Elephas maximus indicus: one gene and its partner. The protein of the gene in region 1 interacts with the protein of each later gene in a biochemical or structural test. Links are inferred from orthologs where the notes say so. Each region holds a gene or a part of one and is shown in the gene's direction. Other genes may lie near its edges.

Region 1 (6,939 bases):
GGAAACAAAGGCACAGAAAGGGTACAGGATGAGTTGTTTTAAATAGTAATAATAATATCTGTAGCCAGGTTTTGGACTTCCCAAACAAAAAAAGCCTGCCTTGTTACAGTTCTTTTCTGGATTAGGCTCTTGCCTTTCCAGGGCCTTTAAAAGGCTGAGGGATGTGTGTGATGACCCATCCAGCCTCTACAGTCACCATTGCACTGCAAACGGTATTAGCCTACTAATTACAGACTGATGAGAAAAAAACTTAGGCTTGTTTTCTTGTTACAGAGAGCTAGAAAGTAAAGGTTAGAAGACTGTTTAGACATTATTATCTTAAGTCACTATTTTTTTTCTTCTTAGCTTTAGTTGAAAGTTTGCTGAAAGGCAAGGTTATAATGATGGTATAAAAGGAGGGTTTTGATCATCTGTATATTTTAATTTATAAAATGTTCCCAATTATCAGATAATTACCAGATCCATAACTGGGAAATTGATCAAAGCTGAAGAGTGGCTTCAGAATCAGGAAGAATGATTTATTCCATTGTGTGTCTCGAGACCTATTCAGGATGGTCACTACTAGGCCTCTCCTTTCATTTAACAGTGTTTACTGGGTGTCAACTATATGCTCTATCTTGAGAATACAAAATGAAAAGACATCATCTTTGTCCTCAAGTTGCCTAGTCTAGTTGGGGGACAATGGATACTTAGATACTTTTAATGGAGGTATGTAAAAAAGATATAGTGGACAGAATATTCAATACCTGGGAGTGGTAGGGAAGACTTCAGAGAAGTTGTACTTATCAAAGATACGAATAAGAGTTTGTCTGGTAGCCCAGAAGGAAGACGGGCTGAGTGGACTGTACTTATAAAAGTCCAGACTTTGAAGATCCCAGAAAGCATGGCTTTTGGGGGAAATTTCAACAAGAACAAAGTGAAGGGTAAGAGAGTACAGTGGACAGTAATGGATAATGAGCCTGAATAAGTGAAGGGCTGACCACTAAGAGACTTCAATGCCATGCTGCTGTGTTAGCACTTAGTATGTGTGAGGCTTACTACATCACAGCCAGGCACAATTCAAGTTCATAGGAATCACATTGCTCTTTAAAGAAAGTCCTTCGGAGTTATTTAAATGATCTTGCAAATGGTTTTGTAGACAGACACTGGAAGGATTTTGAGAAGACCTGAAATAAGTTTATGCATTAAAAACAAATTTTTTTGGTTTGGTCTAAAGAAATTTTTTTTTGCTACAGTTTTTGCAGGAGAATTGGACAAGATGGATCATGGTTCATTTGCTCTCAGAGACTATCAATAAGCAAGGATATGTCAAAGACATTCCTCATTGGTCAGGTGCTGAATTCTATCCAGTCCTAGGAAGAGCAAAGGGAAAGAATTGTGAAAGGGAGGATGGCTACTGAATTTGAGTCTAAATGTAGATCTTTTTCTCAGTACCTGGGAATAAAACCAAACCCTAGTTTCCATTTCAGGCATAGACTAGCTTATAAGAACTATGGGAAAAACAACAAAAAAACCCACAGGCTTTGGAGCTAAAACAACAGGCCATAATTTAAGTGTCTGAGCCTCTCTCTTCTCATCTGTAAAAGGGTATGGCGTCTCTTATTATCAGTTAAAAGGATTAAGTTAGACAATATATTTGAAGTGTTTAGAGAGTGTGCTAAAAATAGTTCCTTTCCCCTTCCCCAGTAAATTTAGGTGTGGTCTTTTGCTGACTATACTGAACAGCTGTTAGAATCTCCTGTGTTTAGTTTACCAAGATGAGTAATGCAGTTCTTCCCTTAGTGTTTCTCCAACTCTGGATTAGGAACTAATCACTTGAAAAAACGGCATAAAAATGCATATTCTTAAACCTCATCCCATACTCCACTACAGAGAATCTGATTTACTAGGTCTGGGGTGAGGCCTAGGAATCTGCTTCTTAAAAAAGCACCCCAGATGATTGTTACAGACTGATATTACATTTTGAGAAACTTTGATGTTGGTTAAGTGATAAAGTTTGTAATAAAGGTGTACAAGATGATGCCATTTCAGCTGCCCTGAGTGTATAAAAAAAAAAAGTGTATAGGTAGGTTTTTCTCAGGAGATAGAAAGTAACAATGCAAAAGCAGTTTTCTTCAAAAACAACAACAAAAATTGGAGAATGTCCTTATACAAATGGTTATATAAGGCATTGTTTTATTCACTTAACAATTTGTAGACTTTTTTTTGCGGAACTGTTCTGGTCTGGAATCTGGCTCAACTTAAAAGCTTTGTGACCTTGGGCAAATTATTTAACTTTTCAGCTTAAGTTTCTTCACTTATAAAATAATATTAACACTACTTAATAATATCGTTCTTATTAAGATGACAAAAGGTACGCAAAGCACCTAATCCACTTTGGCACCTAACACAGTAGGCATTCAACAATCACTTCATCGCTTCCAAGCCTTGCCCAAAGGACCAGAGCCTAAGTTCCTGCTTTCAAAGGGCTTAAAATCTTTTAGGGGAAATTCAGACTTTAAAACAGGAAAATATATAAAGAAGTGATAAGATAAAAGTGCTAAAGAGAATGACCTCATTACGTCACTTACAAGCCACCCAGTCGTCCTCCACTAAAACAGGGATAAAGAGGCAAAATGGAGGCCAGAACTTAAGGGGCCTCGGGCAAAACCATGTCCTTTAACTTTCGTCTCAAGAAACAGGAACTCGGCTATCTTGCTTTACACTTACGCGGTATTTACAATTAAGGGGGTTAAAAAAGGAAGCCGTTTAGGACCTTGGGGAGGTTCTCCAATGCACTTTAGCCCCAAAGAGAAACTCTTGAAAAGTTAACCCGCTGCAAGTAGCTTGTGCTTTCTCTGCGGGAACTTAATAGTGTTTGCTAGAGTCTCACAAAAACCTTGTAAATTGGTCAGCTCCGTATTAACTGATTTTGACAGTGCTGTCGCCAGATCTCACCTCGCCTACACTCACAGGGCTTACACCCACACTCAGAGGCATTCGTCGGCCTCGGGAGGGGTGAGAGGTACTTTCTAAGGGCGGTTCAATGAGGACTCAAACGAGCCGGGGTGGTGGGGCAGAACTGCGCGCTGAAGGGACTTCTTGGTCTTTGCCCTGACACCTGTGGAGCTACAGGGTACTGCTTAAGTGTACCATCTAATCACTGTAAAAGACGTCCCCTAAGGAGGGCCAATATGGCGACGAACTCCTCTTGGCACAGCCCTGTTCCCTTCCCCATGATGGGCGGCTCTAGTAACGCCCATTGGCCAACTTGGGGGCGGTCCCTGGCCTACTGCGCCCCTTCATTGGGCCGAGCGATTGAGGTAGACGCCAACTCTGCTCTGCCCCCTCCAGGTTCCCGCCCCCAGAGTTCATTCGGCGGATAATAGGGTTTTAGTCACGTCAATATGAGTCCTGATCTGTCTCTTTTCAGTGTCTATCCAATCATGACTTTTCTGGCTGCCCGCCTGAATTCTGATTGGTGTTGATCAACTTCATCCTCTCCCGTTCCGGCCTCTCCTCCCACAAGGACTTTGCCCAGGCATGTCCAGAATTCTGGTTGGTCGTTGTTCTGTCACTCTTATCAAAACTCTCCCTATCGCTACCGCTCAAGGAGCCCGCCTGGCAGTTGACTGGCTTCCCTCCAAGCCTATCATCTCCAGCTCCCGCCCATTTTCACTTCCTGCATCTTTCACTGGTTTTTAAAACTGAGAGGGCGGCATTTTGGGGCGGATACCAGGCACGCACTTCTGTCTTACACGCCCTAGAGAGCAATTGAGTCGTGCTATTGGATACCCTGCCCGCCTTTCTTCTACAAGTCCCGCCTTTCCCCCTCCTTCATTGGGCGGGGCAGCAGTGAAGGGGCGGGGCCTAGGCCGAGCTTGTGGCGCGCTGCTCCCTCCTCCTTACCCCCCCCCTCCCCGTCCGGTCCGGGTTCGCTTGCCTCGTCAGCGTCCGCGTTTTTCCCGGCCCCCCCCAACCCCCCCGGACAGGACCCCCTTGAGCTCGTCCCTCAGCTGCCACCATGAGCGGTAAGGATGAGTCCACTCCAAGCTTAGGGGTGGGAGGGGAGTGAGGGGGCGCGCGCGAGGGCCGACCGGGCGGTCCCCGCCGTGAGGGGGGGCGGGCGGGAGGCGGCGGCGGCGGCGGCCTTGGTCCCGCCCGGGGCGGAGGGAAGGGAGGGAGAAGGGGCAGTGGCGGGGCCTCGGAGGAGGAGGGGGATGGGCCGCCCGCCCCGGGGGAGGGGGCAGCGTGGCCTCGCCCGCCCCCTGCCCGCCCCGGCCACGGGGGACGGGCCTTACCCCCCACTACTCGACTGCCCGCCTGAGGCTCCTCCCGCCGGGGGCTGGAGCCGCGGGGGCGGCCCAAGCCGTGCAGGCCCCGCCCGGGCCAACCGCCTCTCTGGCCCGCCCTCTGGTCGCCGCCTGCCCCAAGGCCCTCCCCCCCCCCTTTTTCTGTATTTTCCCCTCCCCCCCATCGTCCCGCCCTTTCCACGCCCCTCACCCCGAAACCGCCCTTTCTCCCTAGGGCCCGCCTTCTCCCCGCCCCGAAACCTGATTTCTAATCCCAAGACCCCTTTAGCTCCTTACCTGTATTTACTAATGTGTCTCCACTCACATTTTTCATCATTTATCTTTCCCTTTTCTGTTCTCTTGTTACTTTCTATGTTTGTATTTTTTTCTTTTTCCGTGTCCTTTAACACTAATTTTAGCAAGCTTTCCATCCACCCACATGTTGTTTTTTGCCTTACCTGGCCTTCTCCCTTTTTTCCCCTGGCATGTTTTTTATTTTAAAACTCTTTCAACATACCCACAGTCCCTCACATTTCCTATCCCAAAAGCATTTTTTGAATGTTTTCTGAGTTTAATTTTGTACAAAGGAAAATTGAGGCCCAGTTCTGGCACCATAGAGCCTGGTTCACGTCATATTGTCCTACAACTGCTCCCCCCTAATCCATTTTCTTTCAACAGGCACCTTTTACCTTCCTATTAGTCATTTCTGTTTCATCATAATGTTCTTTTACCCTTTTTTTCTCCCCAATTTTATGTTGTTTATTTTTATTTCATTCTAGAACAAGATCACTCCATGGATGAAATGACAACAGTGGTGAAGATTGAAAAAGGAGTTGGTGGCAATAATGGGGGCAGTGGTAATGGTGGTGGTGCCTTTTCTCAGGCTCGCAGCAGCAGCACAGGCAGTAGCAGCAGTGGAGGAGGAGGAGGTCAGGTAAGTGATGATTAGAGATAAAGTGTGGGGAATATGTTGAGAGCATGTAAATACTCCTAGATAATTGTTTTAACTACTCACACAAAAAATTTTAGGAAAGGACTAAACAGTTTTACAGATAGAGGAAGTAAGTATAGAGAGAGAGAAATGACTTGGAGATCCCCAGAGATGGAAATTGCAGCAATACAGATAGATTGGTTTTTTTGTTTCTGGTTTTTAGTCGTTATTTGTCTGCACTATTTTGTTCTTTATTTGTTGTGCACTGTCCTCCTAGGCTGGCAGCTGGGTGTCAATAACTCCTTTTCTCTTCCTTGTTTTCTGACCAGGAGTCCCAGCCATCCCCTTTGGCTCTTTTAGCAGCAACTTGCAGCAGAATTGAGTCACCCAATGAAAACAGCAACAATTCCCAGGGCCCAAGCCAGTCAGGGGGCACAGGTGAGCTGGACCTTGCAGCCACACAACTCTCACAGGGTGCCAATGGCTGGCAGATTATCTCTTCCTCCTCTGGGGCTACCCCTACCTCAAAGGAGCAGAGTGGCAGCAGCACTAATGGCGGCAATGGCAGTGAGTCTTCCAAGAATCGCACGGTTTCTGGTGGGCAGTATGTTGTGGCTGCGGCCCCCAATTTGCAGAACCAGCAAGTCCTAACAGGACTGCCTGGGGTGATGCCCAATATTCAGTATCAAGTAATCCCACAGTTCCAGACCGTTGATGGGCAGCAGCTGCAATTTGCAGCCACTGGGGCCCAAGTGCAGCAGGATGGTTCTGGTCAAATTCAGATCATACCAGGTGCAAACCAACAGATTATCACAAATCGAGGAAGTGGAGGCAACATCATTGCTGCTATGCCAAACCTGCTCCAGCAGGCTGTCCCCCTGCAAGGCCTGGCTAATAATGTGCTCTCAGGACAGACTCAGTATGTGACCAATGTACCAGTGGCCCTGAATGGGAACATCACCTTGCTACCTGTCAACAGCGTTTCTGCAGCTACCTTGACTCCCAGCTCTCAGGCAGTCACGATCAGCAGCTCTGGGTCCCAGGAGAGTGGCTCACAGCCTGTCACCTCAGGGACTGCCATCAGTTCTGCTAGTCTGGTATCACAAGCCAGTTCCAGCTCCTTTTTCACCAATGCCAATAGCTACTCAACAACTACTACCACCAGCAACATGGGAATTATGAACTTTACCACCAGCGGATCAGCAGGGACCAACTCTCAAGGCCAGACACCCCAGAGGGTCAGTGGGCTACAGGGGTCTGATGCTCTGAACATCCAGCAGAACCAGACATCTGGAGGCTCACTGCAAACAAGTCAGCAAAAAGAGGGAGAGCAAAACCAGCAGACACAGCAACAACAGATTCTTATTCAGCCTCAGCTAGTTCAAGGGGGACAGGCCCTTCAGGCCCTTCAAGCAGCACCACTGTCAGGGCAGACCTTTACAACTCAAGCTATCTCCCAGGAAACCCTCCAGAACCTCCAGCTTCAGGCTGTTCCAAACTCTGGCCCTATCATCATCCGGACACCAACGGTGGGGCCCAATGGACAGGTCAGTTGGCAGACTCTTCAGCTGCAGAACCTCCAAGTTCAGAACCCACAGGCCCAGACAATCACCTTGGCTCCAATGCAGGGTGTTTCCTTGGGGCAGACAAGCAGCAGCAACACCACCCTTACACCCATTGCCTCAGCTGCCTCCATCCCTGCTGGCACAGTCACTGTGAATGCTGCACAGCTCTCCT
Region 2 (7,193 bases), on another chromosome or scaffold:
GTGTTGGGAAAGGGGTTAATGGGCTTGTGTGTATTGGGTGGAGAGGGTCAGAGAGTTGAGCATGTTTTGGAAGAATCAAGTCAAGCACCAGGGAGGGGATCTCAGCTTGTTGGTGTGTTGGGGTTGGGGTGGGGTAGCTTAGGGCATAGAGTATGAAGGGGAGTGGTATGTGGATTGCTATATGTGTGTTTGAGGAGGGAGGGTCTCTATTTCCTTTTTTTTTTTTAATAATTTTTATTGTGCTTTAAGTGAAAGTTTACAAATCAAGTCAGTCTGTCACATATAAGCTTATATACACCTTACTACGTACTCCCATTTACTCTCCCCCTAATGAGTCGCTCTTGTAGGCTGGAAAGGAAAACTGCCCTGCCTTGTTTGTTGCTTGCCCTCAGAATTCAGGGGCAAAGGGGTCTGACTGGGGGCTTGGAGTACGCAGTGTGGCTTAGTGGTTAAGAGCTTAGATATTGGTGCCGGTTCTGGGTTCGAGTTCTGGCGTTGCTGCTTGCTATGTGTTGGTAACCTTTCTTAGCATGTTTCCTTGTCAGCCTAACAAGAATATTACGAGAACTTCCCTTAGAGGATGAGAATTAGGCAAGAACATAGACGTAATGACCTTAGCTGCAGCCTTGTGTGTGATGGTGGGGGTGCAGCGCCTACCACGTGGTAGTGAAAAGGAATTCAGGCCCTTTCTAGGTGGGAACTGGAGAGAAGGAATACCTACATCTGTGGGGCACCTACTGTGTGCTGAGGACTTTGTATATGTTGTACAAATCTTAATCCTTACAGTCCTGGGAGTGGGGCTTGGTTCCCATTTACACATGAGGAAACCGGGGCTGGCAGAGGCTAAGTGAGGGCAGAGCTGGGTCTGTGGGGTTGATAGCTGCAGGAGGGGCTTGTGGGGGCACTCCTGTGTGTGGAGAGCCTTGGGGGGTCAGTGCCATTGTTGACACCCCTGCCCCATGGCAGAGACCCTGCTTCTTCAGTCTGACCCCTGTCTTCCCCAGTAGGGGGCACAGGGAAGGACCCAGGCCACACTCCCTCTTCTCTGTTTTGGATGCTGAGGCTGGAGGGAAAGGGAGACTAGAGGCCAGGAAGATCCGCATCCTATCCTGGAAGCTGCAGATACAGTCTGTTAGCAGCCGTCCCCAGCCCGGAGTCTGCCCGCTGTAGCCTGTGGAGTCTGCAGAGCTCAGTGGGTACCCTCCTTCCAGACAGACACAGAAGGAACAGAATGGAAAAGCCACAGTTGTTATTCTTATTTTGTTTCAATTTGGGGAGTAGGGGCAGGGAAGTTGGAAGCACTCAATAGAGGAGCCAGGTGATGAGAGCCCCAAAAGAGTGGATCAAGACTTTTCTGTCCACATACTTGCTCTGTGTGCCTAGGACTGGGGGATGGCCACAGGATCTCTGGGTGTGCCCCTTCTCCTTGTCCCCCTTCTCTGCCACTTCCTCCCCTTTGCAGTCAGGGAAGGCATCCTGGAGGAAGGTGGCTGGGGCCTTTCCCAAGCCAGCTGCCTGTGCATCCTCCCTCCCTCTCCCTACTCTTTCCCTGGACAATAGGAGGGACAGCCCAGGGGGAGGGGGTATTGCCTAGCAAAGGCTTTCATAGGGTCCAAAATGCAGAATCAGCCAAAAGACTATGATCTGGGGCTTTGAATGAAAATGGGGCCCCTCACCTTTTATCTCCCAGCATTGATAATGCAGCGGCCCCCTCATGGGCAGGATCCCAGAAAGGGCTGGGGGAGGGGACAAAGGAAAGGAAGCCTGTCGCCCTCTCCACCCCATACCAATTGACATATGCTCCTGAGGCTACTCCCATGCAGGGCCTGACTGCCCTTTGGGGGTAACATCTGAGGAAGGAGGAAGTACTTCTCTTCTCCAAATCATTTTGGGGTGGCTCAGACTGCTTCCCTCCTCCAGCTCCCTCCTCTTCCCCCTCCTAGGAACGTGGGCACAGTACTGGCTAGGTCAAAAATAGAGGCCCTTCCCACTTCATTTTGATTTCTGGGTTGCTGGAAACCCCAGCTAGCCCATAGACCACAGCTCCCTTGGGCAGAAGTCTTAAAGGACACCTCTTCCTGCTCGGCCTTCAGCAGGTCGCCCTACCTCTTTCTGAGTCTGTTTCCTCCTCTTTAGATCCCTTCCTGGCTGGGCCAGTTGCTGTGAGGCCACTGTGACCCACTTGCTGGCCAGCGCTTGCTGGCGAGGGCTTGGATGAGCTGCAAGTATCTTGCAAGGGCAGTGATGATGGGGTGGAGCTAGGCATTGTCCTGGGAGATAGTCACCCTGTACTGGGACCCAATGTCTGCCTGGCACCGGGCCTCATGACTTCCTGTTTGTTGGGCCTCCAGATAGGGTTGGGGACAGGAGGGAACCCTGCCTGGCATAAGGTGGCCAGTTCAGCTCAGCCCACATGTGCTGAGGGCCTAATAAACGCAAAGCCCTGGAGGGGGGTGCGGCTGAAACAGGCCCCAGAACTGCCTTTTTCCCTCCTCTCCCACTGCCCTAGGACATGGCGTTCTGCTCTGACCCACTGCACGACCTTGCTCTTGCCCAGAACAGCCATCTCACCCCACACCCCCAGGTTCTCCTCCTGTCCTGCTCTGGAAATACTCTCCATCCTTTAAGGAACATCTTGCATGCTGCCTCTTCCCAGAAACCTTTGCAAATGTTTCCCCCTTTTTTTGCCACACTGTCTCCCCCTTCCTTGCATGCCTATGGGTCCTTATTTTTTCTCAAATAACACTCATTTACCACCTAGTTACACTACCCCGTCTTGTTCCTACTGTGAATTGCTATCACTTGGGAGGCCTGTCCCTGATCATAAGTTCTTTGATGGCAGGGACAGGGTCTTGGGTCCCTTAGTGCCTTGTAGCTCTGAACACAGAGCCTGGTGCATAACTGGTACCCAGGAGCTATATCATTTGGGAGGAAAGATACCAGGGTCTGTGATTCCTTGGCAATCTCATATACTCCCAATGCTTGCATACTTGCTCCAGGCCCCAGCCTTCCAGACCTCATATCTGAGTCCCACACCCACCTGTCCCAATAGCCCAGTGGACTTCTCTCTTTTGCGGTCTCAGGAGGAACTTTGCTGTTGCATAAGCCATACACCAGAACGTCCTCTCTGCTACCTCCTTTCCCATCCCCACATTGATTCTACCTTTAAAGGATCTCGTGACCCCACCTTCCTCTGTTCATCACCACTGCTAATTTCCTAGCCCAGGCCACCATTTTCTGTTGCCTGACCTGTTGCAGTAGCTTCTAACTTGTCTGTTGCCCTCCTACAATCCATTCTTTCCACAGCTGCTAGGAATATCTTTTGGGGCTATTAATCTGATCTTGCCTCTCCCCTCCTTGGAACCTTTCTGTGGCTTCCCATTGCGTTTAAGATAAAATCCAAAAGCCTTATTGGGGCCTTACAAGCCCACCTGTTCTTGTATCCCTTTTTCTCTTGAATTCTCTGCTCCAGCCACCCTGGTCATTTGTCAGTCCCTTGAATTAACTCACCAACTTCTGTAACCCCAGCACCTTTGCACACACTCTTACTGAGACGGTACTCTGTCCTACTCTGCCTGGTTCACTTCTACTCCTTCTTTAGGTTTCTGCTTTATTTTGAGGTCTTCCCTGATCCTTCAACCTAAATTAGGTACCTCCATTAATTTTCCTTTAAAGCACACTATGCTTATGTCATAATAGCACTTGTCTCAGTTTGCATTTATATATATGTGTGTGCATATATGTATATATGTCCTGGTGGTGTAGTGGTTAAGAGCTGTGGCTGCTAACCAAAAGGTCGGCAGTTCACATCCACCAGGCGCTCCTTGGAAACCCTATGGGGCACTTCTACTCTGTCCTTTAGGGACAGTATGAGTTGGAATCGACTCAATGGCAATGGGTTTGGTGTGTTTTAGATATATATATATATGTATACATGTATGTATATATAATTTGTGATTATTTGCTTAATGTCTGTTGCTCTGTAAGGTATACAAGGTCAGGGACTGTTTTGCTCACCAGGGTATCCGCATAGGAGGTGCTCAGAAAATAGTTTTTCTTGAGATACAATCCAGTTGGCCTGGCATGGTGGGAACATGGGCTTTGGCAGCAGAAAGTTCAGATATTCATTGTGCTCTTCATTGGTAGTGTGACCTGGGAACACCCACCCGTAGCTTTGCGGAGATCTCAGTTTATTTGTCAAATAGGAGTAATGCCCATTTATGTCTTGGAGTTCCTGTAAGGATTAAATGACAACATACATGAAGAACCTGGCTACTAGAAGAACATCCTTGGGAAGCATGTAATTTCCCATTCCTTTCTTTTTCAGAGGGAGGGAGCTTGGCGACAGGGTAAGAGGTGGGTAATGGGATGCCCCCTCCTCTAGGGTCATTCCCTCCTTCTAGGGAGCTACCTAACCTTGGTTTTTATTCAAATGAAATAGGCAACCTTGGGCTTCTGGGAGAAAGTGGTCAGCTGGAAGGCACCAACCCCCTCCTTTTCTCTCTCCAAGGCTGGACTGTGAGGTGGGGGCCCCCATCCTGGTTCCTGGGCTGGGAGACACTCTAGGCGGAGGAAGCATGCAGAGCAGAGCTTAGGGAGGAGAGCCCCCTCTATGTGTGTGTGTGCCAACAGCACCCGCCCGCGCTGCCTTGTAGGGTTCTGGCGGGCGGGAAGCCGGAGTCACACATGATGTCACAGACAATGACACAAGCCGGGTGTCTCATTCCGACACAGCGCCCCGGCTACGCAGTGTCACACCCCGGACACCCGACATGCCTCGTTCCTGGCGCTAACACTCGGTCGCTCACACCGCAGCCCTTACCCTCCCGTGTCCTCTCTCCCAGTGTATGGAGGAGCCGGCCAGGCCCGGCTGGGCAGGAGACCGGCCGGCCAGCCCCGGGGCAAGGCTGGTGAGCCGGTGGTGAGCGGGTGTTGTCACGGGCGGCGGTGGGTGGGTCATCCGGAGGTGAGGCACCGCCAGGCGAGTTCAGCCGTATTATATTAGGCAAATGAGACCCAGGCTAGGTGGGGGTGTGTGTTAGGAGGCGGACACCGAGACACCACCGCCTCCTCCTGCTCCCCCCTGGTTTGGCAGGGTATTGACCAAACCATCTGGGAGACCGGGAGGCAGAACGGGGGTGGGTGAAGACCCCCTCCCACGTCTGTCCTTGCCTCGGCCCCGCAGCCCACTCCTCTCCTGGTACCCTGCCTTCATCTGTACTCTGCTTACTCCTCCTCTTGTGCCTTTCTCCCCTTCCTCCCCCTCTTTTCTCCTCCCCTTCCCAGGCTCCCAATCCTCTCCTGTCCACATCCCGCCTCTCCCTGTCGTTCCCTGGTTCCCAGCGTGTTGCCCTCTGCAGCCAGACCCGCTAGGGAAGGGTTAAGCCAGGGGCGGTGCCTGAACCGGGCGGGGTGGAGGGGAGGGGGTGGGGCCTGAAGAGGAGGGGGTTCGCTGTGCTGGGGGTAGGGGGCACGGCGGGCACTGCTGGGGACCCAGCGAGGTGCCTGCTGCTACCCCGGGCCTCGGTGGAGGCGGAGCCGCGTGGGTCCCCACCCCCACCCGGAATCCTCACCCGGAGAAGCCCGGGAGCCCCGGCTGGGAGGAGGAAGTGCTCGGTGACCCCCTCCCGCCGCCCTGCGCCAATCCCACCCCCTGCCTGCGGACTTGGGGAGCGGGTGGACTCTGCTTCGGACACGAGGAGACTGAGACGGGAGCCCCTCGAGGTGAAGCCGCTGAGTTCCCGGGCCTCCGCCAGGCATTCCCTGGGAGAGCCGAGGGACACCCTCCCCCCAGCACGCACAACTTCCACGCTTTTCACCTGGGACTGGTGGAACTGCCAGCGGACTTAGACTCGGGGACTTAAGGGCAGGGGGCGGCTCCCTGCCTGGGCCACCAGTAGAGGTGGGGGGACGTGTCCCTCGCCCCCAGCGGCTTTCCACGGATGGCGCCCACGGCTGAGTGAGAGGGCGGTGCAGGACTTCCCCGCCCGGACCTCTTGTCTTCGCGGGGGAAGATGTACGAGAGTGTGGAAGTGGGGGGGCTCACCCCTTCCGCTAACCCCTTCCTAGTGGTGGATTTTTATAACCAGAACCGGGCCTGTTTGCTCCCGGAGAAAGGGCTTCCCGCCCCGGGCCCCTACTCCACCCCGCTCCGGACTCCGCTTTGGAATGGCTCAAACCACTGTACGTACCGGCCTCCCCTCTCTCATTGTAGGAGCTGCTGATGGGATGGGTGGCGGGGCCTTCACTCCTACCCAGGGATGCGAGCCTGGGGCACGTTGGTGGCTTGTTCCGACCCTTGACTTTCTCCTTAGTCCCGTTTGCTCAAACTCAGATGTCCTTGCTGGACAATTGGTGCGCCAGCCACCAACCATTGGGTGCTGTTTCTGTTTTGTTAGGTCTGAAGAACTTTGGGGGTTCTTTCTTTCAGGAGACATTCGTTCCTCTCTCCTCCCACTTCTTTCAGGGAAAATGAAGCCCCTTTCCCCCAGTTTATATTTTCTTGCTTAGAATCCAGTGCTTTGAAGCTGAGTGGTCCTTTCTCCCACCCTAGAGGGAGGGGTGAAGGTCCTGTCTGTGGGCTTGCCTGCTCTGAGGAGGAGGGGCCTCCTTCCCAGATTCTGCTCCTACCAAGGTCTGAGGGAGAGCCCCCTCCTGTGCAGCAGCTGCTGCCCCCAGCCCCTGCTCTTTGGACAGTAGAGTGTCAGGGGAGTGCTGCTGGCAGTGGGGTGTGACAGAAAGGGGAACCTGATCAGACACCCGGCTGCCATCCTAACCAGTCCTTACACCTTGGGAAGGGGCACCTGATCCATCTAGGGATTGTCCTGGCCCTAGACACTTGGTTGTCATCTTTGAGACTCCTGTCCCAGGAGTGGTGAGAAGCTGCTCTGGTGGGGAGAACCCCCCTCCCCCTAGTCTGGTTTGTTCTCTGGGGAGAAGTTCCGTTTTATGGGTCTGGGGCTACTCTGGAATTGAGGAATGCATCTATTCTCAACCCTGCTGTTTCCATTTGTTACCCTCTCTACAGTCAGGGATAGGGCCAGTCACTGGACTGTTACTTCCTAAGAGGGATGCTGCTAAGGACTCCTGGTGGCCTGGTCACCTTGCTCACCTGCTGCCTTATCTGGGTTCATGCTCCTCTGGAAGGGAAGGACTCTGAGCATCATCACAGGTGCTCTCAGGGCTGGGGTTAC

The links.
Region 2: the proteins of SP1 (region 1) and RARA form a complex in vitro, tested with the Homo sapiens proteins (2 studies listed by BioGRID). The link is inferred for Elephas maximus indicus from reciprocal best matches to the Homo sapiens genes SP1 and RARA.

What each region holds. Positions count from the first base shown.
Region 1 is NC_064822.1:108,874,507-108,881,445, forward strand, and holds the start of SP1 (transcription factor Sp1), read left to right. Parts: upstream 1-3,919; 5' UTR 3,920-4,003; coding exon 4,004-4,010; intron 4,011-5,050; coding exon 5,051-5,205; intron 5,206-5,531; coding exon 5,532-6,939. UniProt on the Homo sapiens protein: Transcription factor that can activate or repress transcription in response to physiological and pathological stimuli.
Region 2 is NC_064837.1:47,498,298-47,505,490, forward strand, and holds the start of RARA (retinoic acid receptor alpha), read left to right. Parts: upstream 1-4,189; 5' UTR 4,190-4,368; coding exon 4,369-4,523; intron 4,524-4,726; exon of another isoform or gene 4,727-4,734; coding exon 4,735-4,910; intron 4,911-5,453; exon of another isoform or gene 5,454-6,014; coding exon of another isoform or gene 6,015-6,183; intron 6,184-7,193. UniProt on the Homo sapiens protein: Receptor for retinoic acid. Retinoic acid receptors bind as heterodimers to their target response elements in response to their ligands, all-trans or 9-cis retinoic acid, and regulate gene expression in various biological processes.